Mus musculus: one gene and its partners. The protein of the gene in region 1 interacts with the protein of each later gene in a biochemical or structural test. Links are inferred from orthologs where the notes say so. Each region holds a gene or a part of one and is shown on either strand. Other genes may lie near its edges.

Region 1 (3,745 bases):
TGAAGGTCTGGAGCGAAGGAGCAGTCTGGCCAAGGACCTGTCACCGTCGCACCATCCAATAGCAACCGGTCTTGGTTCAGTTTCTACTTAAACTCTGGCTTGCCCCTCTTGAGTCTACGACAGACTATGTAATAGGCCACCACATGGCCTCTGTTTTCATGGCACAAAAAAAAAAAAATACGTTTTGCAAGATGTTTTTACTTTTACTCAAGTTTTCTCCACAGAGCTGCTTTTTACCTTTATCGTTGTTTAATTTACAAATGAGTAAGGTAGAATCCTTGGACAAATTAAACTAGAATCTGTGTTTCCTCTGATGACCCAGTCCAGGGCAATCATGCGTTCAAGTGCATGCACGTCCCAGGCTCTACTGTAGGTCGTGAACTCAGACAGCTAGAGGCAGGAGGCCAGCTCCTCAGCAGGGAGTCACAGGACTCGCTATCTCGGAGAAGGAAGAGGGTGGATACTGGGCTTAGTGAAGGGCGTAAGAGCATCACACAAAGCAGGGGTGGGATGAGGAGGAGGCAGCAATCTACACTCTGTAAAGAACTTCAATCCTAGCACGTAATGGACGATTCAGAAACAAGCGTTAAAGGTGCCTCTCTGAGAGAAGCGGGTGGACTATCAAGGAACTCAGTCTTTGGGACGCATTAGAAGGCTAAAAGAGGAGGAGAGCTCTTAAAAGATTCGAGGAGATGTCAATCCAGGTGAACAAATTGGAAACTTTAAAGAGGTTCCAGAGCCCCGGTGCCCATTAGCTGGGAGGGGCCAGGGAAAATGGGAGCCTTTCATGGAGGAGTAAGTTAAAGGTGATGGGAGGTGGGCAGACAAGTTCAGGAAGGACAGCCGTTGGGGCCGTTGGACACTGGGAGCTGGCGCTCCGCCCTCTTTCCTCTCTCCCCCATAGCCCCCCTCCCGCACCTCCCACCACCATCGACGTCCCCTGCGCGTGCGCGCGCGGACACCGGTTGCCAAACATTGCATCATCCCCGCCCCCCCATCCCCTCCCTCGCCGCGCTCTCCTCCGCGCGCGCGCATGACTCACTCACCTCCTCCGCGAAGCCGCGTGACCCAAAGCCACTTCCGGGTCCGAGACAACGTAGACTCTCAAGCCAGAGGGCGCGATGGGGGTGGGGCCGTGAGACTCCTGAGTGGCGGATGTAAGGGATGAGGCGGAGCCAGTGCCAGCGTGCCGCTTTCTGATTGGTAGGCTCCTGGACCCTGCCCCCCCCCCAGGAGGGGCCGGACAGCATAAAGGATACTCGCTCTCCGCTCTTGAGGTCAGTTATCTTGAGCCTAACACGTCGATTATATCATGTTGAAGATGAGCGGGTGGCAGCGACAGAGCCAGAATAACAGCCGGAACCTGAGGAGAGAGGCGAGTACTGGCTCCGTCTAACCCTTACCTTCCCATCCTGGCCAGCATAGCTATTTTATAAAGTTGGAGACAACTGTTCTGGAGGATGTAGCCCCACCCCTTCCACTGTAAGCTTGTAGACTGGGAAGGGTGAAGGCCGGGAATCCCTGATTCAGGAATGGTGCTTACAGGCCCTCTCTTGCATTGGGCGATTGCATTCCCGTTCCCTTGTCTCGAGTTGGTCCCCACTCTGCAGAGGGACTCCGGTTGCCTTCGGGAACTTGTCTCTGTAGTGCGAACTGCGGGCCAGCTTAGGCCTGGGCAGTTCGCAGGAAAGGCGGGGCAGCAGGACACACCCCCAAAGTCGGGGACTCTGGCTGTCTCAGCCTTTTCTTCACCAGCCTCATTCCCCCCAACTCTTTCAAGCTGAAGCGCCTCAGTCAAGGGGCCAACATGGCCACGTTAGTAGCTGACTCTCAAGTTCAAGAGAACGCGAAGACTGACAGATCTTTGCGAGTGGGGGTGCTGGTGGGAGGAGCATAGATGGGTTTTTCCCTTTTCCCCAGAGGTTTCTAGGTTTCCATACAAGAGAGCAGCCTGGATCTCTTTAACTATGGGAAATTATTTGGGATCTCTCCAGGGTCTTCTGCTTCTCCCAGGGCTGATTGATCTCTGCTTCTTTCCTCAGTCCCGTCTCCTAACTAAACTGTGTAACCATTGCGTCAGGCCAGCCCACTGTTTGTCTCTGCACCCTCAGGCCTGGGGCTCCTCTGCTGATGAAAGCCAGGTCCCACACACTGGAAGACCAAGGGAGTTTTCCCTAGAGGACAACCCTGCAGAGAAACACTCAGGGCAATATTGCATCTGCAGTCCCCAGAGACAGCCAGCTCCGCTCTGCCTTTAGGCTCAGTGGGCTTAATTCTCTATAAGGGAACTTGGGGGAGGGGCTTTTTCCCCATTCATTCCTAACAAATGCCTAATAAGCACCCACTATGTACCAAGTATCTGGGGACCCAGGGTATATTAGGAGCAAAAGATAAAACTGTTCTCAATAAAACTTACATTTCAGTATAAAGCAAAAGGGAAAAAAAAAACAAAAGCAGGGCAGAATAGTTCAGGGCGGTGACTAGAGGTTGTCATCAGAAGCCAAGCCTGTGAGCCAAGCCCCGGTGTTAGAGCTTTATAGAAGGGAGAGGCTGAGCAACAGAGTTAAGATAAGCATGCCATGCCGGTATCTTTAGGAACAGGACTAGAGTAAGCAGGAGAGGGTGATGAAAGGAAACTCAAGCAGCCGGTCTCATAGAGCCTTGCAAGCACCCTCATGATGCTAATCTTTAACAATCATGAAACAGGAAGCCATTGGGGGATCTGAGCAGAGGAATGATCATAGCACATGCATTTAATTCCAGCACTCAGAGAGGCAGATCTCTGAGCTCCAGGCCAGCCAGGGCTACATTATGAGACCCTGACTCAAAATAAATACAAAAACAAAGGGTTAGGTATGTAGCTCAATAGTACACTGCTTGCCTGGTATGTAGAGGACCCTAGGTCAACCCACAGCCGTGAAAATAAAGTAAAAGACAAGAATAGAAACAGGAGGTCTCAGCTGAACATAGTGGCACAGCCTTTAATCCCAGCACTTGAAAGGCAGGCAGATCTAAATTCAAAGCCAGAGAGTCTACAAAGCAAGTTCCAGGACAGCAAAAGCTACATAGTGAGACCCTGTCTAAAAGAGAAAGAAAGGAAAGGAAAGGAAGAAAGAAAGGAGAGATTTCAAAGAGGCTTCCAAAATAATCCAGGGAAAGAAATGTATGGTAAATTTATATCTGGAGCCAGGCAGTGGTGGTGCACGCCTTTAATCCCAGCATTTGGGAGACAGAGACAGGCGGATTTCTGAATTCGAGGCCAGCCTTGTCCACAGTGAGTTCCAGGACAGCCAAGGCTACACAGAGAAACCCTGTCAAGAAAAACCAAAAAAATAAATAAATGAAAAATAAAAAATTGCATCTGGAAATAATGTAGTAATGAGAAATACTTAGGTTTGGGGTACTTTTAAAGTTGTCAGTGCTTTAGGCTGAGCTGTGGTATCTGAGAAAGGGGCATCAAGGATACCAAAGTTTTTGGCTTTCAGCACCTAGAGTTGCCATTTAGTAAGAACTATACAGCCTTGGTAGGAAAGGCCTTTCATGTAAGCTGAACGCCTGCTCAACACTGCCAAGGAGCTGGAGATCCCAGAGCAGGTCTGCACTGAGGCTGCCAGTGGGGGGATGGAATCTGAGCAAGCACTGCTGAGTTTACTCTTCCTTCCCTCTAGTTCTGTCTCCCTTTGGCGGACTTGAGGTCTATCTGGGATTTAGAGAAAACTTAGTTGGCCAGGACTTTGCTATTATG
Region 2 (3,745 bases), on another chromosome or scaffold:
CCCCCCTTCCCAAGTCCGATCTGGAAAATCACCCGCTGCAGGCGGGTTCCTTGTAAGCGCAGTTTCCAGGCTGCACGTATTCAGACCCCCATCTCCCCAGCACCGACTTGCTTTCTCCTCCCCCCCCCCCCCCGAGCTCACCTCACTTTGTAATTCTGAGCTCCCCCCCTGCCCCGACTCGCCCTCTGGTCTCAGCTCAAAACTAAACATACGACCCCTTCAGGCATACTTGTAGGGTGGTTTTGCACAATGTTTATCCGTCAGTGTCAACGGGGACTGTCGCCTTGATAGCTCTAAGTGGCTAAGGGTCGGGGAGTAGGTGCTGCCGTCCTTTAAAACACGAATTTATGAATGAACCCAGTACTGTAGTTAAATCAGGTTATTGTACACTTATTTACAATCCTTCACTTGCTGCTTCCAACCTCAGTCCTAAAGTTTCTCCAGGCAAGGAGCTGGAGAGAGGGGCTGAGAAGCTGACCCCCCCTTTTTCTTCTCTGCACTGATTTGGGATGGGGGGCTGATGTGGGCAAGCTTTCCTTTAGGAACAGAGGCTTCGAGCCTTTAAGGCTGCGTACTTGCTTCTCCTAATACCAGAGACTCAAAAAAAAAAAAAAAGTTCCAGATTGCTGGACAATGACCCGGGTCTCATCCCTTGACCCTGGGAACCGGGTCCACATTGAATCAGGTGCGAATGTTCGCTCGCCTTCTCTGCCTTTCCCGCCTCCCCTCCCCCGGCCGCGGCCCCGGTTCCCCCCCTGCGCTGCACCCTCAGAGTTGGCTGCAGCCGGCGAGCTGTTCCCGTCAATCCCTCCCTCCTTTACACAGGATGTCCATATTAGGACATCTGCGTCAGCAGGTTTCCACGGCCGGTCCCTGTTGTTCTGGGGGGGGGACCATCTCCGAAATCCTACACGCGGAAGGTCTAGGAGACCCCCTAAGATCCCAAATGTGAACACTCATAGGTGAAAGATGTATGCCAAGACGGGGGTTGAAAGCCTGGGGCGTAGAGTTGACGACAGAGCGCCCGCAGAGGGCCTTGGGGCGCGCTTCCCCCCCCTTCCAGTTCCGCCCAGTGACGTAGGAAGTCCATCCATTCACAGCGCTTCTATAAAGGCGCCAGCTGAGGCGCCTACTACTCCAACCGCGACTGCAGCGAGCAACTGAGAAGACTGGATAGAGCCGGCGGTTCCGCGAACGAGCAGTGACCGCGCTCCCACCCAGCTCTGCTCTGCAGCTCCCACCAGTGTCTACCCCTGGACCCCTTGCCGGGCTTTCCCCAAACTTCGACCATGATGTTCTCGGGTTTCAACGCCGACTACGAGGCGTCATCCTCCCGCTGCAGTAGCGCCTCCCCGGCCGGGGACAGCCTTTCCTACTACCATTCCCCAGCCGACTCCTTCTCCAGCATGGGCTCTCCTGTCAACACACAGGTGAGTTTGGCTTTGTGTAGCCGCCAGGTCCGCGCTGAGGGTCGCCGTGGAGGAGACACTGGGGTGTGACTCGCAGGGGCGGGGGGGTCTTCCTTTTTCGCTCTGGAGGGAGACTGGCGCGGTCAGAGCAGCCTTAGCCTGGGAACCCAGGACTTGTCTGAGCGCGTGCACACTTGTCATAGTAAGACTTAGTGACCCCTTCCCGCGCGGCAGGTTTATTCTGAGTGGCCTGCCTGCATTCTTCTCTCGGCCGACTTGTTTCTGAGATCAGCCGGGGCCAACAAGTCTCGAGCAAAGAGTCGCTAACTAGAGTTTGGGAGGCGGCAAACCGCGGCAATCCCCCCTCCCGGGGCAGCCTGGAGCAGGGAGGAGGGAGGAGGGAGGAGGGTGCTGCGGGCGGGTGTGTAAGGCAGTTTCATTGATAAAAAGCGAGTTCATTCTGGAGACTCCGGAGCAGCGCCTGCGTCAGCGCAGACGTCAGGGATATTTATAACAAACCCCCTTTCGAGCGAGTGATGCCGAAGGGATAACGGGAACGCAGCAGTAGGATGGAGGAGAAAGGCTGCGCTGCGGAATTCAAGGGAGGATATTGGGAGAGCTTTTATCTCCGATGAGGTGCATACAGGAAGACATAAGCAGTCTCTGACCGGAATGCTTCTCTCTCCCTGCTTCATGCGACACTAGGGCCACTTGCTCCACCTGTGTCTGGAACCTCCTCGCTCACCTCCGCTTTCCTCTTTTTGTTTTGTTTCAGGACTTTTGCGCAGATCTGTCCGTCTCTAGTGCCAACTTTATCCCCACGGTGACAGCCATCTCCACCAGCCCAGACCTGCAGTGGCTGGTGCAGCCCACTCTGGTCTCCTCCGTGGCCCCATCGCAGACCAGAGCGCCCCATCCTTACGGACTCCCCACCCAGTCTGCTGGGGCTTACGCCAGAGCGGGAATGGTGAAGACCGTGTCAGGAGGCAGAGCGCAGAGCATCGGCAGAAGGGGCAAAGTAGAGCAGGTGAGCAGCGATTCTGGACCTTTGTGGGCTGGGGGGGGGGGGGGGGGCGGAGACTGACGCACAGACCACACAACAGAGAAGGGACGCTACTGACTGCACTTCCTGACCAGGAGCTGTGGCTGCTAGCCCTTTCCCTCCCTTGTCAGATTTTGACAGTTGGACCCAAGACAAACTCTAGACAGTTTCCCTGACAGCTTCCTACTTCATTCTCTAGCCGGGGAGCTTCTTTGTTCCCCTGCTAAAGATCTCACTTTAAATGCAAATCACACTCTGCCTGCCAACTGCAGGTTAGAAAAACTGCTTCACCGAGAGGTGCGGGTGCTGTAGGAGCCAGTTTCACTGGGGTGACTGAATGGAGGTGACACTAGACAACCTTAACTGAATGTTGGTCCTTTTCTTCTATAGCTATCTCCTGAAGAGGAAGAGAAACGGAGAATCCGAAGGGAACGGAATAAGATGGCTGCAGCCAAGTGCCGGAATCGGAGGAGGGAGCTGACAGATACACTCCAAGCGGTAGGTTGAACCAGCTGCTGCTCCTGAAACTTTATTAAAGTTGGAGCTTGGGACTATGGGCGCAGGGTCCTTGAGCATGCCCGTGTCTTATGCTTTCTTATATCTCTCCCTATGCAGGAGACAGATCAACTTGAAGATGAGAAGTCTGCGTTGCAGACTGAGATTGCCAATCTGCTGAAAGAGAAGGAAAAACTGGAGTTTATTTTGGCAGCCCACCGACCTGCCTGCAAGATCCCCGATGACCTTGGCTTCCCAGAGGAGATGTCTGTGGCCTCCCTGGATTTGACTGGAGGTCTGCCTGAGGCTTCCACCCCAGAGTCTGAGGAGGCCTTCACCCTGCCCCTTCTCAACGACCCTGAGCCCAAGCCATCCTTGGAGCCAGTCAAGAGCATCAGCAACGTGGAGCTGAAGGCAGAACCCTTTGATGACTTCTTGTTTCCGGCATCATCTAGGCCCAGTGGCTCAGAGACCTCCCGCTCTGTGCCAGATGTGGACCTGTCCGGTTCCTTCTATGCAGCAGACTGGGAGCCTCTGCACAGCAATTCCTTGGGGATGGGGCCCATGGTCACAGAGCTGGAGCCCCTGTGTACTCCCGTGGTCACCTGTACTCCGGGCTGCACTACTTACACGTCTTCCTTTGTCTTCACCTACCCTGAAGCTGACTCCTTCCCAAGCTGTGCCGCTGCCCACCGAAAGGGCAGCAGCAGCAACGAGCCCTCCTCCGACTCCCTGAGCTCACCCACGCTGCTGGCCCTGTGAGCAGTCAGAGAAGGCAAGGCAGCCGGCATCCAGACGT
Region 3 (3,745 bases), on another chromosome or scaffold:
TTCAGTTCCTATCTGAACTGACCAGTTCCCTCCCAGGGCTGTGGGGAACAACACATCACATGCACAAACTTTAAAACATAAGGAAATTAGGATCCATACATTCACATTCTCCCTGCCCCTCAGGGACCCTGATCTAGTTCAGTTCAGTTTAGTTCTAGTCATCAGGAATTGACTGGAACCCTCAAGAATTTCAAGCCAGTCTGTCACAACTGGTGGTTGACCCCCGAGTTCCTAAGACACCAGGTGAATTACACCCAATTGGCTGACATCAGCATTCCTCCATTAGGGTTGGATTGGCCAAGATTGTGAGTTCTCACATAGGAAACCATTTCTCTCTTGAAGTTTCTGGGGGGTCCTGGCTATGTCCCTCCTCCCTTGACAAGGAACCCCTGTAGCCAGTTCCTTAAAGAATCACAGACTTTGGCTAAAGGAACTCAACGGGACTCCCAGCATTAGAATTGTCTAGCTCAAACCCCCATTTTGTCATTGAATAAACTGAGGTCCCAGAAGGAAAGCACTTGCCTAACTAAACTCACAGAGATGGGTGTGGTCCAGTCCAGCCAAGCTGCCCACACCCACCCTCTACTCATTCTGCACTACCAGGAGGACCCATCAGTTAGTTCAATAGATCAACCAAATAAGCAACCACAGAGAGAGCTGCCTGCCAGGGGGGCAACTGAGGGCTGAAGAGACCCATACCTGGCACCCCTCATAGAGGAGGCTCTGACAGAATGAAGACCAGAAGAAACTGGTGTGCCAAGAAGGGATTTAGATAGCCACAGGTGCTGGGCAATGCCTTCTTCACTCTGGGAACCTGGTCAGCAGCCTCTGAAACCTCTTGATAGAAGCAACAGCAACCCCCACCCCAGCCCCACCCGCTCCAAGCAAGAGCCTGTATGTGGTAACATTATCCCATAACAAATGCAACATGCAAAACATGTGCTCCCTTCTTGGTGACACATGCCTGTAATCTCAGCACTTGGGGACCGAGGCTAGAAGACTGCCATAAGTTTAAAGCAAGCCCCAGTTACATAGGGAGACTTTGTCTCAAAAGAGTGGAACAACAGGAGGGGAGAATAAACCTTTTAAATAATCGGGCTTGGCAACTCCTTTAATTTATAAGAAAGCTCGTGAGCTACATGATTAAATCAAATAAAATGGCTAAGAGGAAAATACAGAAATGGGAGTTGAAAATGAGCATGGGGTCGAAGCAGGGAATCAATCCAACGGGAGAGAGCTAGGAGACAGAGATGTAAGAGAGGCCCCCTTTCCTGTCCTGTCTCAGAGACCGGCTAGGAACGCTGGGTGGGGGAGCCTCCACACTGAACATCCCTCCCTGGCTCCTTTTACTTTAATTATTTTAGTCTAGAAACAAATCTGTCAAAAGCTGGCTATCTGAAGCACACAGCGCACAGAAAGGTGCTGGGCGTGTGGGCCTGTAATTTCAGCACTTGGGAGGCTGAGGCAGGAGGATTGGCCGGAGTTTTTATGGGCAGTCTGGATTACAGAGTGAGACTCTGTCACGAGAATACAAACAACCCCCCCCCCGCACGCCCCCCCCCCCAAGTACAAGTGGTTCCACACCCTGGTCCCTCCACCCGCTTGATCCGATTCCTTCGCTTCCCTTCCAATACATAAAGAAACTCAAGGGCCGGTTAAAAGTCAGCCAGAGCACAGCAAGTCACAACAGCGAGTGAGGCTGGAAGTGACGTCTCAAACCTAGCGGTCCGAAGTTAGCTGGTGCGGAGACCTCTCGGCCTTCAGCCCCGGGACAGCGCCACACCAGGGCTCGCCGCCTCCAAACTTATCCTAACACACTTTCGCTCACAGCGCTCTACGCGGTCATGCTGCCCAGATCTCTGCTCCGGGGAGCGCAAGGCGACCTCCAGCGGCTGTGCCGGACCTCCGTTCGAGCGTCCGGTCTTCATTCATTTAGCTCGATACCGGGAGCAGCGCTTCAACAAGCCGCGGCCACTGCGCCTCTACGCGGACTTAGGAGGGACCCGCTCCGAGTCCAGGGTCCGGGACAAGAAGTGATGGATGGAAGAGGGGACCCCGATCGCCAGAGTGTGAGTCACCTCCGCGCACCAGCACCCACCTTCCACCCAGACGACCTCTCCTAGTTGCAAACTGAGAGCGCAACTCCTCCGTCCCTGGGCATCTTTCACGCCTCGAGTCAAAAGAGAAAGTTCGTTCTTTCACTTTACCAGAAACTTTTTACCAGCTAAGAACGGCAGCGGCAAAGAGCGGCTCAGCCGAGCGACTGTGGCACGGACACTAGGGCTTCAGTCTCCGGTGGCGCAAGGGTCCCGGGACTGGTCACCAGAGGGGAACTTAGGGTGAGGAGGGCAGCGCTCCTCGGTGTGGCTCTAACTCACCTCCAGTCTTCGCTCGGGGCGGCCAGGGTCCAGAGAGCGGCCAGAGGCGGGTGGTCTGTCCCGCCGGCGGGCGAGCGCCAAGGACTCTGCCGGAGCGCGGGTTAGCCGATTGGCTCCACTGGGGAAGCACCGTGCGCGGCGTCTCGCTGAGTGAGACTGTGGCTGGGAGCGCGTTGCATCACCCCTTTTAAAGCCCTCGCGTTGGCAGGGAGCCCGCTTAACTCCAGGTTACCAATCCCAGGCTGACGTAATGCTATTAATAGCTTCCAGGGAGAACTGGCCAGAGGAGGGGTGAAGGAGGGACGGGGGCGGGGCAAAAGGTGGGTGGAGACCGCGGACTTGGTGATGCAAGTGCGAGAAGGGGCGGTCACGGCGCGTCCTGCGTTCCTCGCACGCCCGGGACACACACACCCGCCCGCCCTCTATCTCCTTATCAGGCTGGGAGCCGCCCGGGCGCACCGCCAGATGTGCGTATTCGCCGCTGCGTGTTCCAGGCATGAGCCAATGGTGCCCAAGCCAGCGGCATGACTCCACCGCCCTGGCATCTCTCCCTCCGCTAGGTTGGGGAAGGGGGGGTGGTGGTGCTGGGAGGCGGATCCTGGCAGTGGCCCAGACTAGGTGAGGCTGGGAAGCGGGCACGACCTTTCTCTAAAATGTGTGGTCATTTTTCTAAAACTTCAGGAAAATGTGCCTTCTTTGACCAGCGGCCTAGCCTAAGGAGGGGGCGGGGAAGGGATAGCGGTGACAATCTCCCGCGTGAAGGAGGTGCCCAAAGTTACACTCCGATGAATCCACACCGTTACCCGCCACTGTGACCTCCTCTGCCGGGGACCCAGCTAGCAGCTGTGGGTTAACGTAGACATTCGGCAGCCTCGTGCTCCCACGCCCACGGCCCCCGAACTCGCTAGGAACCCGAAGTGCTAGTGACCGGACGCGGTCAGTTCGGTTGTTGTTTTTATTTTTAATAACAACCACAAAACGTTTTTAAATGAACAGGGAATTCTCCACGAAAGCAAGAGCGTAGAAAGAGGAAAGATTTGGAGAGATCAGAGCCACCTAGCGCAGGGATAAGAAAGGGCTGGAAAAAGGCGGCTCGGCTAGTCTGGGAAAGAGGACGCTTTGATCTCTACGCTCCCGGTTTGGGCGGGGGTGGGGGTCCGCCTGGATATCAGGAAAGAAAAACCGGCTCCAGGTTTCGAGTGTCTGTCTGCAGGAACAGAGGGCTCTAGGGATACGGTGGCCGGGACTGAACGCGCACCGCTTAAAGCCGGAACACCGAGCCCTCTTGTACTCAAATCTGGTGGCGGGAAAGGCTGGGCAAAGGACTCGATTTCAGGCCAAAGCCTCAGCAGACCTGGGTTTGAAAC

What was found.
Region 2: the proteins of Ddit3 (region 1) and Fos form a complex in vitro, tested with the Homo sapiens proteins (2 studies listed by BioGRID and IntAct, with this or other methods). The link is inferred for Mus musculus from reciprocal best matches to the Homo sapiens genes DDIT3 and FOS.
Region 3: the proteins of Ddit3 (region 1) and Atf3 form a complex in vitro, tested with the Homo sapiens proteins (2 studies listed by BioGRID and IntAct, with this or other methods). The link is inferred for Mus musculus from reciprocal best matches to the Homo sapiens genes DDIT3 and ATF3.

What each region holds. Positions count from the first base shown.
Region 1 is NC_000076.6:127,289,517-127,293,261, forward strand, and holds the start of Ddit3 (DNA damage-inducible transcript 3 protein), read left to right. Parts: upstream 1-1,276; 5' UTR 1,277-1,375; exon of another isoform or gene 1,376-1,482; intron 1,483-3,745. UniProt on the Homo sapiens protein: Multifunctional transcription factor in endoplasmic reticulum (ER) stress response. Plays an essential role in the response to a wide variety of cell stresses and induces cell cycle arrest and apoptosis in response to ER stress.
Region 2 is NC_000078.6:85,472,751-85,476,495, forward strand, and holds the start of Fos (proto-oncogene c-Fos), read left to right. Parts: upstream 1-1,139; 5' UTR 1,140-1,289; coding exon 1,290-1,430; intron 1,431-2,184; coding exon 2,185-2,436; intron 2,437-2,841; coding exon 2,842-2,949; intron 2,950-3,066; coding exon 3,067-3,708; 3' UTR 3,709-3,745. UniProt on the Homo sapiens protein: Nuclear phosphoprotein which forms a tight but non-covalently linked complex with the JUN/AP-1 transcription factor. In the heterodimer, FOS and JUN/AP-1 basic regions each seems to interact with symmetrical DNA half sites.
Region 3 is NC_000067.6:191,180,715-191,184,459, forward strand, and holds the start of Atf3 (cyclic AMP-dependent transcription factor ATF-3), read right to left. Parts: upstream 2,620-3,745; 5' UTR 2,379-2,619; intron 1-2,378.